Macaca mulatta: one gene and its partners. The protein of the gene in region 4 interacts with the protein of the main gene of each other region in a pairwise test. Links are inferred from orthologs where the notes say so. Each region holds a gene or a part of one and is shown on either strand. Other genes may lie near its edges. The genes, in order: NIF3L1, MAPK3, EIF5A2 and DHPS.

What was found.
Region 1: the proteins of DHPS (region 4) and NIF3L1 interact in binary tests that used the Homo sapiens proteins (3 or more experiments, as listed by UniProt). The two-hybrid records come from large-scale screens. The link is inferred for Macaca mulatta from reciprocal best matches to the Homo sapiens genes DHPS and NIF3L1.
Region 2: the proteins of DHPS (region 4) and MAPK3 interact in binary tests that used the Homo sapiens proteins (3 or more experiments, as listed by UniProt). The link is inferred for Macaca mulatta from reciprocal best matches to the Homo sapiens genes DHPS and MAPK3.
Region 3: the proteins of DHPS (region 4) and EIF5A2 interact in binary tests that used the Homo sapiens proteins (3 or more experiments, as listed by UniProt). The two-hybrid records come from large-scale screens. The link is inferred for Macaca mulatta from reciprocal best matches to the Homo sapiens genes DHPS and EIF5A2.

Annotation. Positions count from the first base shown.
Region 1 is NC_133417.1:106,002,310-106,005,870, forward strand, and holds part of NIF3L1 (NIF3-like protein 1), read left to right. Parts: intron 1-437; coding exon 438-576; intron 577-2,418; exon of another isoform or gene 2,419-2,520; intron 2,521-2,782; coding exon 2,783-2,866; intron 2,867-3,561. UniProt on the Homo sapiens protein: May function as a transcriptional corepressor through its interaction with COPS2, negatively regulating the expression of genes involved in neuronal differentiation.
Region 2 is NC_133425.1:28,437,030-28,441,156, reverse strand, and holds the start of MAPK3 (mitogen-activated protein kinase 3), read right to left. Parts: upstream 2,852-4,127; 5' UTR 2,783-2,851; coding exon 2,613-2,782; intron 1,589-2,612; coding exon 1,406-1,588; intron 1-1,405.
Region 3 is NC_133407.1:82,589,690-82,593,709, reverse strand, and holds the start of EIF5A2 (eukaryotic translation initiation factor 5A-2), read left to right. Parts: upstream 1-1,211; 5' UTR 1,212-1,293; intron 1,294-1,976; 5' UTR 1,977-2,011; coding exon 2,012-2,176; intron 2,177-2,720; coding exon 2,721-2,825; intron 2,826-4,020. UniProt on the Homo sapiens protein: Translation factor that promotes translation elongation and termination, particularly upon ribosome stalling at specific amino acid sequence contexts.
Region 4 is NC_133424.1:13,230,722-13,234,996, forward strand, and holds the start of DHPS (deoxyhypusine synthase), read right to left. Parts: upstream 2,814-4,275; 5' UTR 2,785-2,813; coding exon 2,578-2,784; intron 2,477-2,577; exon of another isoform or gene 2,136-2,476; coding exon of another isoform or gene 2,055-2,135; intron 1,384-2,054; coding exon 1,219-1,383; intron 981-1,218; coding exon 859-980; intron 778-858; coding exon 681-777; intron 602-680; coding exon 515-601; intron 1-514. UniProt on the Homo sapiens protein: Catalyzes the NAD-dependent oxidative cleavage of spermidine and the subsequent transfer of the butylamine moiety of spermidine to the epsilon-amino group of a critical lysine residue of the eIF-5A precursor protein to form the intermediate deoxyhypusine residue.

The DNA of each region.
Region 1 (3,561 bases), on a different chromosome or scaffold from region 4:
GCGGTGGTATAATCTCAGCTCACCTCTGCCTCTTGGGTAGCTCAAGCCCACCTCCCATTCAGCCTCCCAAGAAGCTGGGAGTGCAGGTGCACGCCACCATGCCTGGCTAATTTTTGGATTTTTTAATGGAGATCAAGTCTCACTATGTTGCCCAGGCTGTTCTCAAACTCCTGAGCTCAAACAATCCACCCACCTCAGCCTCCCAAAGTGCTAGGATTATAGGCATGAGCCATCGTGCCTGGCCTGATTATTGATTTAAACATCTGCCTTCTTAGGAAACTGTGAGCTCCTAGAAGAATGATTTTGTCAGGTTTGTGTCCCCACATTTAGCCTGGAGCTTGCTGTAGTAACCTCACAGTGTGCATACTGATTGATTTTAGCATTTGTTGTTTTAGGACTGACAGTGGACACCGTTTCTAACTTCTGTTTCTCCTCAGCCTTTGCTTCTACATACTGGAATGGGACGCTTATGCACACTGGATGAGTCTGTCTCCCTGGCAACCATGATTGATCGAATCAAAAGACACCTAAAACTATCTCATATTCGCTTAGCCCTTGGGGTGGGGAGAACCTTAGGTAAATATTGCTCCTTCATTTATCCAGTATGCCTACTGTTAACATTGGACAAAGGTTGAAACTCTTGATTGTATTAATATGTGATAGAGAATGTGTTAGCAGCTCATAGGAGATCATTGGTTTACTTTATTGATTAGGGTAGGCCAGGTCCTGCTGTGGAGTACATCTCATTGGCCTAATCAATGAGATTTATTTCTCTGTCATGCTATGTGTTCATTTCAAGTTGGTTATTTTAGGAAGTCTGGCCATTGTAGACTGGTTGTTGTTGCAGAGGGAGAGAGTTTTGCAGGGTCTTAAACCATCAGTTCAAAATTCCAGGAAACATGTTCATTTCTGCTCAACTTATTTTCCAGATTTAGTCATGTTATCCAATACAACCAAGGGAGGCATAAAGTGCAGTCTTACCATATGTCAGGAGGAGAGCTGGAATCATGATTGCTACAATTACAACATAAATTTTGCACTTACAAGACTGGTAATATTTTCTAGTGAGGTGCCACTGAGTGATCTGATCCATTGCAGTTTCTAAGTCTTGTATTTTTTCTTCTGGCCTTTCTCGGTACTTTTGAGAACAAAAAGAGTGAACAGACATTTGTTCAACACCTGCAGTGAACCTAGCACTGTACTGATTGTCTGTCCTGAGTGTGTGAGCTCCCACTGGCAAAAGCAGTGGGGCACAGTGGTTATAGGTATAGATTCTGAGCTCAGACAAACCTGGCTTCAGATTTGTCTGTCCTCTCTGTTTGCTGCTTGTCTTTGACAAGTTGTTTATGCCCTCTGTGTCCCAGTAGTCTCATTGGTAAAAACTGCATTAATAATAAAACCTAACTCAGAAGGTGGTAGTATAATCCATGTGACATGGCACAGTGACTGGCTCACATTAAGTATAGTTAAAGTGCTAGCTCTTGTTAGCTTTGTGGTTGGTACTATTTCTCCTATGTTATAGGTGAACAGTTTTGGTTCAGAGAGATAAGTAACTGTATTAGTTCGTTCTCACACTGCTATGAAGAAATGCCCAAGTCTGGGTAATTTATAAAGAAAAGAGGTTTAATTGACTCTTTAATTTATAAAGAAAAGAGGTTTAATTTATAAAGAAAAGAGGTTTAATTGTTCTGCATGGCTGGGGAGGCCACAGAAAACTTACAATCATGGCGGAAGGCACCTCTTCTCAGGGTGGCAGAAGAGAGAATGAGTGCAAGCGAGGGAAATGCCAGACGCTTATGAAACCATCACATCTCATAAGACTCACGCGTTATCACGAGAACAGCATGGGGGAACTGCCCCCATGACCCAATTACCTCCACCTGGTCCTGCCCTGGACCCGTGGGAATTATGGGGACACAGAGCCAAACCATATGAGTAACTTATGCAAAAGTCCAGTTAGATCAAACAACCCAAGGGAGTTAAGTGTCCAAAGAAAATGGATAGCAGAGGTGGGATTTGACTTCCAAAATAACTCCAAAGCCCCATCTTTGGGATACCGTGCTGCTGAACTGGAGTGACCACTGAAGAAGTGTCCATTTTAGAAACCCAAGTGCTAAATACTTGGATTTTGGTTCAAAAGTTGCGGTTATTTCACTTTTCAGAGGATGCTTTTTGAGAATAAATAGTATATTTAAAAATATGTGCCAACTCCATTCGTAGCATTCCTCTTTCTCACTAGTCCTTTTAGTTCCTTAGCTTCCTCCCCTGAGAATAGAGATAGTACTTGCCTACCTCTCACTGTTGTCTGAAGACCCAGGTGAGATTACTTTACCCAGCAACGTTGCGGTACTGCCTGGAGCTGCACCATTAGTACTATTCAGTGGTTTGTGAGTGTGCAGCCATGTCAAAGGAATAACGGTACTCCCTTCAGCAGCACATATACTAAAAATTGGATGATATAGATTAGCATGGCGCCTGTGCAAAGATTACACGCAAATTTGTGCATTGTTCCATATTTTGTGCAATTCACAAAGGTTGTTAGTTAAAAAAAAAAAAGGAATAATAACTGTACCTTGGGTTAGCTATGCAATATCAAAAGAATGACCTGTTTGCTTATATTAAAACATGTTTTTTTTTTTTACATGCAGAAAGAACAATTCGTATACTCGTGATGAGACCAGGAGTAAAATCTGTATTATGTTTAGGATTCTTGCTACAAATTATAATAGTAAAAAGAAAGGGAATTGTAAAGTATTGGTCTCTTGTTTCCTTTGTCTTAAAGAGTCTCAAGTCAAAGTTGTGGCCCTGTGTGCTGGTTCTGGGAGCGGCGTTCTGCAGGGTGTCAAGGCTGACCTTTACCTCACAGGTAGGACAGACTTTGGATCTCTCTTGGTTTATTTTTTGCAAAATCAAAAATGGCAGATTTTAGGACAGTACCTGGTACATAGATGATACCTAATTAATGTTTTGTAAACTTGAACTAAACAGAAACTACAACAGAATTGGGACATACTGCGTTCTTTGTGGAGGGATGAAATCATTGAACAATTTATTATCTCAAAAATTAATGGTCAGCATTTATTTTACCTACATTCTTCCTAAACTGTCCCAAACCTCTCAGATTTCACGTCAGTGGGATACTTTCTACCCTGTCACCTTAGCTAGGAAATGGTTCCTCTTAGCCTAAAGCCAATCATCAATTCCTATCAATTCAAGCTCCCAAATCTTTCTAGAATCTTCCCCCTTATCTGTCCAGGCAGTGTCTCCTACTTGAAGTACAGCATCAACCCTCTAATGTTATCTTCCATATATTCTCCTGAAATTAACTTTTCACAGTGCGTATTTGATGGTCTTGACTAAAAAGACTTCAGTGATTTCCTTCATCTGTCTGGTAGAGCCTGAACATTGCATCCTCTTTCTTGTACCCTTTGCATATGCTGTTTTCTTTGGTTAGAATGCCTTTTCCTTGTTCTTCTTGTGATAAGTGAGCACCCCCTCTGAGAAGCCTTCTCTGACACTGTCCTGCTTCTGCCTCTTGTGGGTCCCTGTCACTTTGTCCTT
Region 2 (4,127 bases), on a different chromosome or scaffold from region 4:
GGGTAGGGAAGAGGTGACAGGTGTCACAAGTTGCTAAGGAGAGCCAGACAGGAAGTGGACAGCAAACTAGGAAAGCAGTATCAGGGGAGGACAACAAAGGCTAGGCTGTCCCTCCCTGGGCAAGGTGCAAGTCCACAGGTGATTAGGGTGTGGCTCTGAGTGAGAAGTCCTAAGAAGGACAAGTTTCCATCTGGGGGAGGGGAGGAGGAGACAGCAACAGAAACACTTGATTTTAGGTTTTCTGGGCCTCAGCTTCTTCATTTTTTTTTTTTTTTTTTTGAGACAGGGTCGCGTTCTGTCCCCCAGGCTGGAGTGCAGTAGCACAATCATAGCTCATTGCAGCCTTGAACTCCTGTGCTCAAGCCATCCTCCTGCCTCAGCATCCCAAGTAGCTGGGACTACAGTCATGCACCACCAAAGCTGGATAATTTTTAAATTTTTTGTAGAGATGGGGTCTCACTATGCTGCCCAGGCTGGTCTTGAACTCCCAGCCTCCACTGATCCTCTGGTCTTGGCCTCTAAAGTGTTGGAACTACAGACGTAAGCCATTGCACTCTGCCCTCATCTTTGAAATGAAGCTGCAAAGCCTATCTCATAGGGTAGTTGGGAGGTGTAATAGAAAAAAAAAAAAAAAGCATTGGGCATGTATAGTACCTGACACGCAGTAGGACCTCAAGAAAGGCAGTTTTTTTGTTTTTGTTTTGTTTTGAGACAGAGTCTCACGCTGTTACCCAGGCTGGAGGGCAGTGGCACGATCTTGGCTCACTGCAACCTCCGCCTCCTGGGTTCAAGCGATTCTCTTGCCTCTGCCTCCCAAGTAGCTGGGATTACAGGCATGCGCCACCACGCCCTGCTAATTTTTTTGTACTTTTAGTAGAGATAGGGTTTAACCATGTTGGCCAGGCTGGTCTCCAACTCCTGGCCTCAGGTAATCTGCCCACCTCAGCCTCCCAAAGTGCTGGGATTACAGGCATAAGCCACCATGCCCAGCTGACAGTTTGCTTTCTCCCTGTCTCCCTTCCAGTCTGGGGAAGGAGGAAAGAGAGGAAAGAACCATCCATTTGTTAGCAAGAAGTGACTGTGGGCAGAAGCTGGGTCATGTCTCAGAACTGCCGATGTCAGAAGACAACACTCCCATAGAGACCATCCTGTCTAGCCCTCCCCCTTGGGGCACAGAGCAGAGAACTGACTTGCTCAAGGCCATATTGCCCGGCTGCAGCAGGCCTGGGTTCATCAGAGGCCTCTAAGTCCTGTTACACTGTGGCTTCTCCTCTGCAGGAAAGTTTATTTTACTGGGTTTGTTTTGGAGGGTGGTGGGTAAGATGGAAACAGAAAGCAAGCAACGGGTCCCCAGCCCAGCTCCGAGGCTGTGTATGACCAGCCGACTGGGCAAGGTGAAGGATACACATCCCTCATGGCTTCCAGGGTGGACGCACGCAGAATGTCTCGGATGCCGATGACATTCTCATGGCGGAAGCGCAGCAGGATCTGGATCTCCCGGAGCGTGCGCTGGCAGTAGGTCTGATGCTCGAAGGGGCTGATCTTCTTGATGGCCACGCGAGTCTTGCGCACGTGGTCATAGGCCGAGCTGAGGGGACCGGAGAGAGGCTGCTGCTGTGGCCTTACAAAGGGGGAGTCCGGGCCTGGTGGCCCCACCCAGGCCTTGGCAGGGAGGGGAGAGAGCAGGAGCTGGCTCTGGTCAAATCATAAACAATGCTGGTTCCTTCCTGCTGTGTAGGGCTGGGATCTCCAGAGAGAAAGCTGGGGACCAGCCAGGCGGCCCTTCGGTGACTTTACAAACAGAGGAAGAGACTGACCGCTCACTGACTTCCCCTCTCCTCAATCCCCTTCCATTCTACTGGCCCTGAACCCTTCGCCCCCATTCCCAGGAAAGGTTCCTTAACCCAAGACAGGTCCGGGGGTGCAGATGCTGGGGGCACACCATGGAGCAAATACTGGGAAAACGGCAGCCAGGGGAGGGGCAGGAGAGAATGGACAGGGCAGGGGCGGGTCCTAGGGTGAGGGAAGCGGGCAGCAGGGCTGTCCCAGAGCTCACGGTGGGGCCGGGGGCACTCACAGACCCCTCCCAAAACATGCAAGTGGCACTCCTGGCCCCCTCATCTCTCTTTGGGCACCTGGTGGTGGTGGTGGTGGGGCCAAAGCCCTGCCCCACCCTGATCTCGGCTCGTCTACCCCAGGCTCCCTGGCACTGCCTCACAGGGGGAATCCAAAACACCCTTTCCCCCAAAACGGGCCCTCCACTGCCTCTTCACTAAGGATGTCGCCTCCCCGAGAGTACTCATCCTCTGGGCCTCGCCCCGTGTCACTAGGGTCCCCGCGGGCCCCCACATGCACTCAGATGCCCCTCCCATCATTACAGAAGGGTGGACTCAAAGCCTCCAAGCCCCCTCCCCTGAGGACGCAGGCAGCGCCCTCTCCCCTAGAAAGCACTCAGGGGTCCCCTCCCTGGGACGCTCCCGATCATCCCGAGTCCCCTGCCTCCTCGGGACGCTCCGCGTCTCCACGTCCCGGAAAGCGCTCGGCGCCTCCCCCTCCTCTCCTGTGAAGCCCCCTCCCCTGAGGGCGCCCCCTCCCCCGGAACGCCCCCTCACCTGACCATGCCGTACGCGCCCTCGCCGATGTACTGCAGCTGCGTGTAGCGCGGGCCCACGTCGAACGGCTGCCCCTTCACCATCTCCACCTCCCCCGGGACCCCCGGGCCGACCCCCTCGGCTCTCCGGGGCTCCCCACCCCCGCCCCCCTGAGCCGCCGCCGCCGCCATCTCCACTCCTCCCCTCCCGCCGCCCTCCTCCCCCCGGCGGCCCCGCCCGAGGCCCCGCCCCTTCCCGCCCGCCTGTCACCCGCAGGGCCGCGCGCTCCAGGCCCCGCCCCTGCCCCGGCCCCGCGCGCCCCCGGCCCCGCGCGGGCCTGGAGCCGTCACGTGACCCACCCCGGGCGCGCGCCCGCCCTTCTCGCCCTAGGTGCGGGAGCCCGGGGGTCTCTGCTGGCTCCGCGGTCACCAAGTCACGGGGAGGCTCGGCAGCGCCGCCTCGGAGACTGTCCTCACCCTCCTCTCGAAGGCGAAGCGGCCAGGGCGTGACCTACCAGAGCCACCCAGCCAATGTGTGCGGCAGCCCACCAGAACCTGGGCCCGAGATCACCCTAGGTTAAAAAAACTGTTCTAATAAATGAATCAAATTTTACAGATGGGGAATCTGAGAGTTGGGCTAACTAACTTGAGTAAGGTCACTAGTAATGACAGAGCTGAGACTCAAAATGATGTCTTCTGACAGAGGCTCTTTTTAATTCCATGCCTCTCAGAATCCTAGACTGTTTTTATTTTATTTTAGAGACAGGGTCTCACTCTGTCGTCCAGGCTGCAGTGCAGTGGTGCAATATTTACTGACTGCATTCTCAACCTCCTTGGGGTCAAGTGATCCTCCTACCTCAGCCTCCCAAAGAGCTGGGACTATGCGTGCGCTCCACCACGCCCTGCTAATTAAAAAAAAAAATTGGGGGACTGGGCACTATGGCTCACGCCTGTAATCTCAGCACTTCTGGAGGCTGAGGAGGGCGGATCACTTGAGGACAGAGTTGGAGACCAGCCTGACCAACATGGTGAAGCCCTGTCACTACTAAAAATACAAAACTTAGCTGGGCATGGTGGTGGGCGCCTGTAATCCCAGCTCTTCAGGAGGCTGAGGCAGGAGAATTGCTTGGTACCCAGGAGGTGGAGGTTGCAGTGAGCCAAGATTGCACCACTGCACTCCGCCTGGGTGACAGAGCGAGACTCCATCTCAAAAAAAGAAAATATAATTTTTTTTTGGTAGATACTGGGTCTTGCGATGTTGTCCAGGCTGGTCTGAAACTACCGACTTCACAGGATCCTCCCACCTCGGCCTCCCAAAGCTCTGGGATCACACCTGTCCATCTCAGACTGTTACAACTGAAGAAAGGGCCCTCGGAGATCATCCAGTCCATCCCCCTCATTTCACAGCAAAGATATGAGCTGGAAGCTTCACAAAAACACACAGCTCCCAACCTTCAGTAAGTAATCATGTAGTGGGTTTTTTTTTTTTTTTTTTTTTTTTTTTCCCTGAGAAGCTGGGAGTAGGTCCTTGGATGCA
Region 3 (4,020 bases), on a different chromosome or scaffold from region 4:
GTAATGGCTCCTTCGTATATTAGCTAGAGGCTGAATGCAGTACATGAGAGGGCAGTAACTTATTGCAAAAGTTAAATTGGACATGTTTGAAAGATATGTGAAAACTGTAGAGGCACATAGGAATGTGAGGTATGGGATTATTCATGAGACAGCAATAGGAAATCAAAGTACCACATAAATGCGGGTGTGGAACGGGAAATAATTTCCTAGGTCACCTCCCCAAGAGGATACTGTGGTGAGTTGTGAAATGAAACTGTGAAGGGGGAGTACATCTCTTTTAAGAACCTTTCTATTGCAGTCTACAAGCTCTAGATCAATTTTGAAGACCATCTAAGCGTTCTAATGTGGCACAGTTAAACCCCAAACTCTAAGGAATGCCAATGCCAGGAGGAAAGAAGGCATGAGGTGGCAGAACACCTCTCTGGACCCACAATGCCGTAGAAGTCAGACACCCTTCGCCTCCACAACTTCACAACAGCCTTTGCTGTGAGAAGTGGATTAATTCATTTCACTGCTGGCTTGTTAGCTGGCGGATGCTTCAGGAGTTCCTACCCGGGGGAGCAGCGCTGACTCTACAGGGGCACCCCGCGCCAGTCGCTGCCAAAATTCTCACCAAGGGGTGAATGGGGTCCTCAGGACCCGCGGTGCCGAGCTAGGTATTAAAATACCGCACCTGAGTTCTTCTTCAAGGACCAGGAGGCGGTTCGAACCCCAAGAAAGGCTGCAAGCTGAACCAGAAGCTCAAACCTAAAGTTCGCTTCACAGCCAGCCACACTGGCACTCGCTGAATCGGCGCGCCTCGCGAGTTCTGACAATTGTCATGTGATAACTGCCACGCACCTGATGGCAGAGGCCACTGGATGCCTTGCTTGGTTCCCATTAAAGTCGACTGCGACCCCAACGCAACAAACCTAAGAGTTGGAAGGCGCAAGTTCCTCCGCCAGCGAGCTCACCCTCGGCAATCAGACTGCTGAAAGTGCGCTCCACGCCGGAAGTGCACTAATCCGCAGCACGTGGGGTTGCCAGGGCGCTCTTCACGTGACTGGGCGGAGCCTCAGGAATCTGGTAGCCAATGGTAGCCCGAGAGGGCGGTGCCTGTGACGCTCCGGGGCCTATCCCGGAAATGGGGCTGAGGTGGGGGCGGGTAAGGGCGGGGAGGCTGGGGTGTGGAAAGTGTGGCGGCCCCGCCCCGTCTCTTGGAACTGCCGCGGCCGCCACCGCCGCCGCCGGCGCCGCAGCTGTAGGGGACCAGCGCGGGTACGCAGACGAAAGGCACTCTTTGCCAGCTGAAAGGTGAGGACCTGGGGAAAAGCTGGTGGGGATGGGGCCAGAGCGAGGCAGGGCCGGGGAAGGCGTCCAGAGCCAAGCGCTGACCGAGGGAAGGAAGGAGAATGGATGGGGGAACAGAGGCGAGCGCGGGACCGCCGGGGCTCAGGCCCTGGTGGGGCCGGGCCGAGCTGAGCCGAGGATGCCGGCAGAACAGGGGGCGCCTATGCGGCCGCGGCGGCGGCGTTGAAGGGTGGACGGGGGGGTGCGCGCCAGCTAGCAGAGGGCCGGGTGCCGCCGGCCAGGTTCTGTTACCCCGCATCCTTCGCGGGGACGTGCGGCCTGGGCTGGATACCCCGCAGCAGGGTTCGGGGCGGCGGCCGAGTGCTGGGCGGCGCGGGAAGGTCGCCGGCTTCTGCGGTGGGGCGATGGGGGCCGCAACCTGCTGTTTCCAGCGCGGAGGAGCGCCCAGGGCGGGTGTCCCCACCCTCAGCGAGCTCTTCTGCGACTTCTCATCCCACCTCCCCAAGCAATAGCTGGAAAAGTTTGTAGAGGCCAGAGTTAGAAAGTGTCCACTAGTCTAGGGTGGGTGTTCCTTACATGCAGAAATAACAGGCCCGTGATGCTTGGCACATAACTTGTCCGAAATGAGACGTTTCCGTGCCTACATACCCGTTGTTGAAAAGCAAACACAAACTTTTTGTGTGTAGTTCCCACGGAAAAACTACCATCTCCCCAGCCCACCATGGCGGACGAAATTGATTTCACTACTGGAGATGCCGGGGCTTCCAGCACTTACCCTATGCAGTGTTCGGCCTTGCGCAAAAACGGCTTCGTGGTGCTCAAAGGACGACCATGCAAAATAGTGGAAATGTCAACTTCCAAAACTGGAAAGCATGGGCATGCCAAGGTAAGTGCCCTTGCAGATCAGGCTTTGGCTTTGGCGTTGGAACTTTGATCATTTGTGTTCCGTTACAGATCATGAGATTTCTATACTTAAAATTTTGTAATAAGCACTGTTTTTTCCTTCCCACAATTACTGGGTGATCAGTTATTACGTTGAATACTGAAAGGTAGCAGTCCCTTCTTGGGCCCTTAACAATGTTCATTAACTGGGAACTGAAACTTTCCTGAATCCTAGTGACTTAGAAGATCTATTCAGTTTACAGATAAGAAAACCTGTTCCAGCAATTCTAAGAAACCTACACTTTATTTTTCTTGTGTAATCTCATAATTGAATCACTGGACTATATTGGGTCTTGACATGTGATACTGTTTAGTTGTTTACTGCCTCCTAATTGTAAGACCACTACTTTTTTTTAAGTAAAATCAGATGACCTTGGAAGGCGGAGAAAAGGAATCTGTCGTAATCAGCGTTGGTATTGTGCTCTTGTGTGTGTAATGAGTGATATACTTGGCAGAGATTAAACAGGTTTCCTGTTCTCCTCTGTTAGGTTCACCTTGTTGGAATTGATATTTTCACGGGCAAAAAATATGAAGATATTTGTCCTTCTACTCACAACATGGATGTTCCAAATATTAAGAGAAATGATTATCAAGTAAGCACTGATTTTCTTTAGAATGTTGCTTGTTACTTCAAGGTGCAAATACTTTGTACTATCAGTAATAATTTGACAAAACCCAAGAGTAGTTTTGTAGGTTTTTCTAACCAATTATTAGGCACCACCTATCTTAGAAACTGGAGAAATAGTGATGTTTAACACTTGTACCTTTTCTAGGATTATTGCTAGTTTGCTATTTTTTTTCACATTCTTGCATTTTTTAAAAAGTCAAATACTTATTAGTGCTCCTCAGGCCAAGTGACTGCATATTGCAATTAAGTCCAATGTTTAGTAAAAGTACTATTCTCTCTGTTATTATATATTTCTTATTCTAATTTAAAACATCCCTCCTGGATGTTTTGTTTCTTTTCACTGATCAGACCTAAGACATTCAAGAAACTACTGAAATTCATGTTCCTACCAAGTTTTTGTATTAATGAATGTTAGTCAGAACCTGACATTCTTAAGTAGGGAAATAAGTTGAAAGCCATAAATATAAAGTACATGGTCACTGAGTATGGTGAAGAAAACACGAAAACTATGTAATTGGTTAAATTACGTTCAGTGACCATGTTGTGACCTTTTGCTAAATTATATATGTAAATTTCAAGTTTTAGTTCCAGCTATACATTTGGGTAGGTCATATTTAATGATAGCATTTTGTTGTTTGGAGTACTGATGATAACCAAATAATTGACCTTATAGGATGTGGAAGCTCAGATTACTCATAACTAAAGCTTTTCTTGAAAGTCTTCAGTTTCTACATCAAGCATATCATATATCAAACTCATTTCTGCTCATTTTACGTAGTAAAAACTACATAGTTGACACTGGTATTTGTTTTATCCAACTTAAACTGATTTTTTTCTGTACCCTTTATTGTATAAATTTTTTTAATGTTGCTATCAACTGCACTTATGCAATGATTTCCTTTTGCTGTTTGTCCACATGCAAACATACTTTTTTGTAGTTTTAATCTAGTAAACACTTCTATGTTTTCATTTTCCGACTTGTCATAAATGTTTTCTAGGTTGCTTTGAAGTCTTTGTAGAAATTTGAATTGTCTTGCAAGTGGGTTTTTTTAACCAGGTAGATCTGAGTTTGGATCTAGTTCTGTCACTTTCTAGTTGGATGATTTTGGACAAGTAATACAACCTTTCTGAGCCTGTCTTCTCATCTACAAAATAGGGAT
Region 4 (4,275 bases):
ATAAGGATGCTGAGGCCCCACTAGTTATCTGTGTGACTAGGGACAAAATTACCTAGCCTGGCCAGGCACAGTGGCTCATGCCTCTAATCCCAGCACTTTGGGAGGCCAAGGTGGGAGGATTGCCTGAAGCCAGGAGTTCAAGACCAGCCTGGGCAACATACGGAGCCCCCCCGCCCCATCTCTACAAAACAATTTTAAAATTAGCTGGTCATGGTGGCATGTGCCTGTGGTCCCAGCTACTCGAGAGGCTGAGGTGGGAGGACTGCTTGGCCCCAGGAGGTTGAGGCTGCAGTGAGCTGTGATCACATCACTGCACTCCAGCCTAGGTGACAGAGCCAGATCCTGTCTCAAAAAAAAAAAAAAAAAAAAAAAATTTACCATGCCTATCTGTGTTTGAGTCTCCTCATCTAAGCGTGAGGATGCTGAGAATAACAGTGGTGAATCCCCAGGTGGCTGGAAAGATGAAGTAACACATGTCAAAGTCTGGCTACTTTGCCCCTGCTTAGGTCCTCACCTTCTGGGCCCAGTAATACACGGACTCTGGGTTGTTGATCTCCTTGCCCAGCCGGGCGATCATCTTAGAAGGCGTCCACTTTACACCCTAGGAGAGGAGGTGAGCTTCAGGCCATGCCTCCCCTGACTCCCACTGGACTGGCCCCTCCAGGTTGCCCCAGCCCCACCTCTGTGTTCTGCTCCAGCACCATCTGGTCCAGAATGGGCATCAGCCAGTCCTCAAACTTGCAGTAATTGTCATTGGGCACCAGCAGGTTTCCGATCCTGAGGACGGGAAGCATGTGGGCATCAGGCCCCAGGACCCTTGGTCCAGCTCCCCTGCCCAGCACCACTCAGGGTTCTTACCTATTGATTCCGTTCTCCCGGAGCTCCTTCCCCCTGAGGCTAAACTCGCCCAAGTATGTGGGCGCCAGGCACTTGATGAGGTCCTCCTCCACGCCGCCAGCTGTGGTCACCAATACATCCACCTGCAGCCACAGGGCAGTGAAGTTGGCCCAAGAAGGAAGCCCCGGCCCTCATTCTGGGCAGGACTTCTAACCTCATCCTTGTCCAGTGACTCCTACGAGGGAGCTCTGCTACAAAACAAAACTCGATTCTGTTCCTCTGCTTGTAACAGACTCCTATCTCCCCATCTCACTTAAACGATCAATAACTGCATCGCCCATTGACCCAGAGGCCAAGGCCACGGCCCCACCAGGTCCCCACCATGTTGTGCTGCACAAGGTAGCGAATGGTCTCACGGATGCCTGAACTGATGAGGTTGGATGTATATCCCAGGAAAATGGTGCAGCCGGTAAGTGGGCGGCGGCTCTGGGTCAGGTCTGCATGCTGGTCTTCATCCTGTGACAGTGGTTCCAGCTTCTTCTCGATCTGAGAGTAAGAGCCAGGTCGAGTTAAGCACTGGCGTTAAATCCCAGACCCAGGACTCCAGGTGGGCTCCAGAAACAGATTTCACCCCAGGCCCTGCACAGTCAGGGATATAGGACCAGTTCTACAGGAGACCAAGGTACATCTCCTGTGCAAACTCTGCCCCTTCCCAGACCAGATCTCAGGACACGCGTTAAGGATTTGCCCCCACCCTTTTTTTTTAGACAGAGTTTCACTCTTGTTGCCCAGGCTAGAGTGCAATGGCGCAATTTTGGCTCACCGCAACCTCCGTCTCTCAAGTTCAAGCAATTCTCCTGCCTCAGCCTCCCAAGTAGCTGAGATTACAGGCATGTCTTTTTAGTAGAGACGGGGTTTCTCCATGTTGGTCAGGCTGGTCTCGAACTCTCGACCTCAGGTGATCCGCCCGCCTCAGCCTCCCAAAATGCTGAGATTACAGGCGTGAGCCACCATGCCCGGCCTTTTTTTTTTTTTTTTTTTTTTTTTTGAGACAGAGTATGGCTCTGTCACCAGACTGGATTGCAGTGGCGCGATCTCGCTGCAACCTTCCGGGTTGAAGCGATTCTCCTGCCTCAGCCTCCGGAGTAGCTGGGACTACAGGCGCGCATCACCATGCCCGGCTAATTTTTTGAATTTTAGTAGAGACAGGGTTTCACCATGTTGGCCAGGCTGGTCTCGAACTCCTGATCTAGTGATCCACCCGCCTCGGCTTCCCAAAATGCTGGGATTACAGGCATAAGCCACCGCGCCCAGCCAGCCCCCACGTTTTTAGGAATCAGAGAGCATCTCCTTTCAGATCCGGTCCCTTCCCCGCTGGGAAAAGCAAATCTAAATTCAATCACCGCCCAGACTTAGGCTCCTCCTCCCAAATCCTCCCTTAACTTGTATAGCCTCAGGCTCCGCCCATTCCAGAAAGCTTTAAATTTACCTGGAACCCGCTCCCACACCGAGAATCAGTCCTTGCCTCCTCGGGCTACCGTACTACCCTGTAACTACTACAGTGCAAAATCCCCTTCCCAGGACAGAAACTCCCGCCCAGAATAGGTCCCGCCTTCCTCCAACTATTGGGCCGCTCAAATAAAAGACACATCCCCTCCACTGGAAGCCCTGCCCCCGTACCGCACTGGTTCTGCAAGCCACGCCCCTCCGCGTCCCTAGAAGTCCCGCCCCCGTCCTCACCATGGCATTGACTTGCTGTACAGCGCGCCCGAAGTTGGTGGCCTGGAAGCCGGTGGTGCCGAAGGCTTTCAGCAGCGCGCGGTAATCCACACCACGGTTGAAGTCGTAGCCCCGAACCTGGGTGCTTTCGGGCGGCAACGTCGAGCTGTGCTTTAGCACGGCGGCCAGCGCCGCCGCTGGCGCCTCCCGTTCCGGGGAACCTTCCATGCGCCTGTAGCCAGCTCTCGAGTCACAGCGGCCCCTAGCCGGGCTTACGGCGGCCCAGAAACGCGTTAATCCCCGACGCGTGCGTCTCGCAGGAGCACAGGAAGTAGGGAATGCGTTTTTGGAAGAAAGACCGGAAGTTGATTTTTCACGTGACCATTTTTAGGCCCTGTAAACCTGGTCGCCGCCATCTTTGCGCATGTGTTCCGTAATACGGAAGCCGCGAGGAGCCTTTAGGTCTTGTCTTTTTCTTTTTTCTTTCTTTCTTTTGTCTTTCTTCTTTCTTTCTTTCTTTCTTCCTTTCTTTCTTTCGTTTCTTTGTTCTTTCTTTCCTTCCTTCCTTCCTTTTCTTTCCTTCCTTTCTTTCCTTTTCCCTCTCTCCCTCCCTCCCTCCCGTCCTCCTTCCTTCCTTCCTTTCTTCTTTCATTCGATACAGGGTTTCACTCTTGTCGCCCAGGCTGGAGTGCAATTGCGCAATCTCAGCTCACTGCAACCTCCACCTTCCGGGTTCAAGCGATTCTCCTTCCTCAGCCTCCCAAGTAGCTGGGACTACAGGCATACACCACCACGCGCGGCTAATTTTGTATTTTTAGTAGAGACAGGGTTTCTCTTTGTTGGTCAGACTGGTCTCGAACTTCCGACCTCAGGTGATCCGCCCGCCTCGGGCCTCCCAAAGTGCTGGGATTACAGGCGTGAGCCACCGCGCCAGGCCTTTACGCCTTTTCATGTGTTCCCGACTTCGCATGAAGATTCTTTTTTATTTGTATTATTTATTTAATTTATTTTTGAGACAGTTATACTCTTGTTACGCAGGCTGGAGTGCAGTGTTGCAATCTCGGCTCACGGCAAACCCTGCTCCCCTAATTCAAGCGATTCTCCTGCCTCAGCCTCCCGAGTTGCTGGGATTATAGGCACCCACCACCACGCCTGGCTAATTTTCGTATTTTCAGTAGAGACGGCATTTCACCATGTTGACAAGGCTGGTTCTGACCTCACGTGATCCGTCCGCCTCGGCCTTCCAAAGTGCTGGGATTACAGGCGTGAGCCACTGCCCCCAGCCAAGATTTTAATGCCGCCTGCTGGAGACCCACCGCTTTGCCGGCGCTCGCCCATTCGTTTCTGTTCTGTCCCCTCGGGAGGAGACGCTGGTTTTGTTGTTGTTACCTTTTTTTTTTTTTTTTTTTTTGAGACGGAGTCTTGCTCTGTCGCCCAGGCTGGAGTGCAGTGGCCGGATCTCAGCTCACTGCAAGCTCCGCCTCCCGGGTTCACGCCATTCTCCTGCCTCAGCCTCCCAAGTAGCTGAGACTACAGGCGCCCGCCACCTCGCCCGGCTAGTTTTTTGTATTTTTTAGTAGAGACGGGGTTTCACCGTGTTAGCCAGGATGGTCTGGATCTCCTGACCTCATGATCCACCCATCTCGGCCTCCCAAAGTGCTGGGATTACAGGCTTGAGCCACCGCGCCTGGCCTGCTGTTGTTTGATAGGGTCTCACTC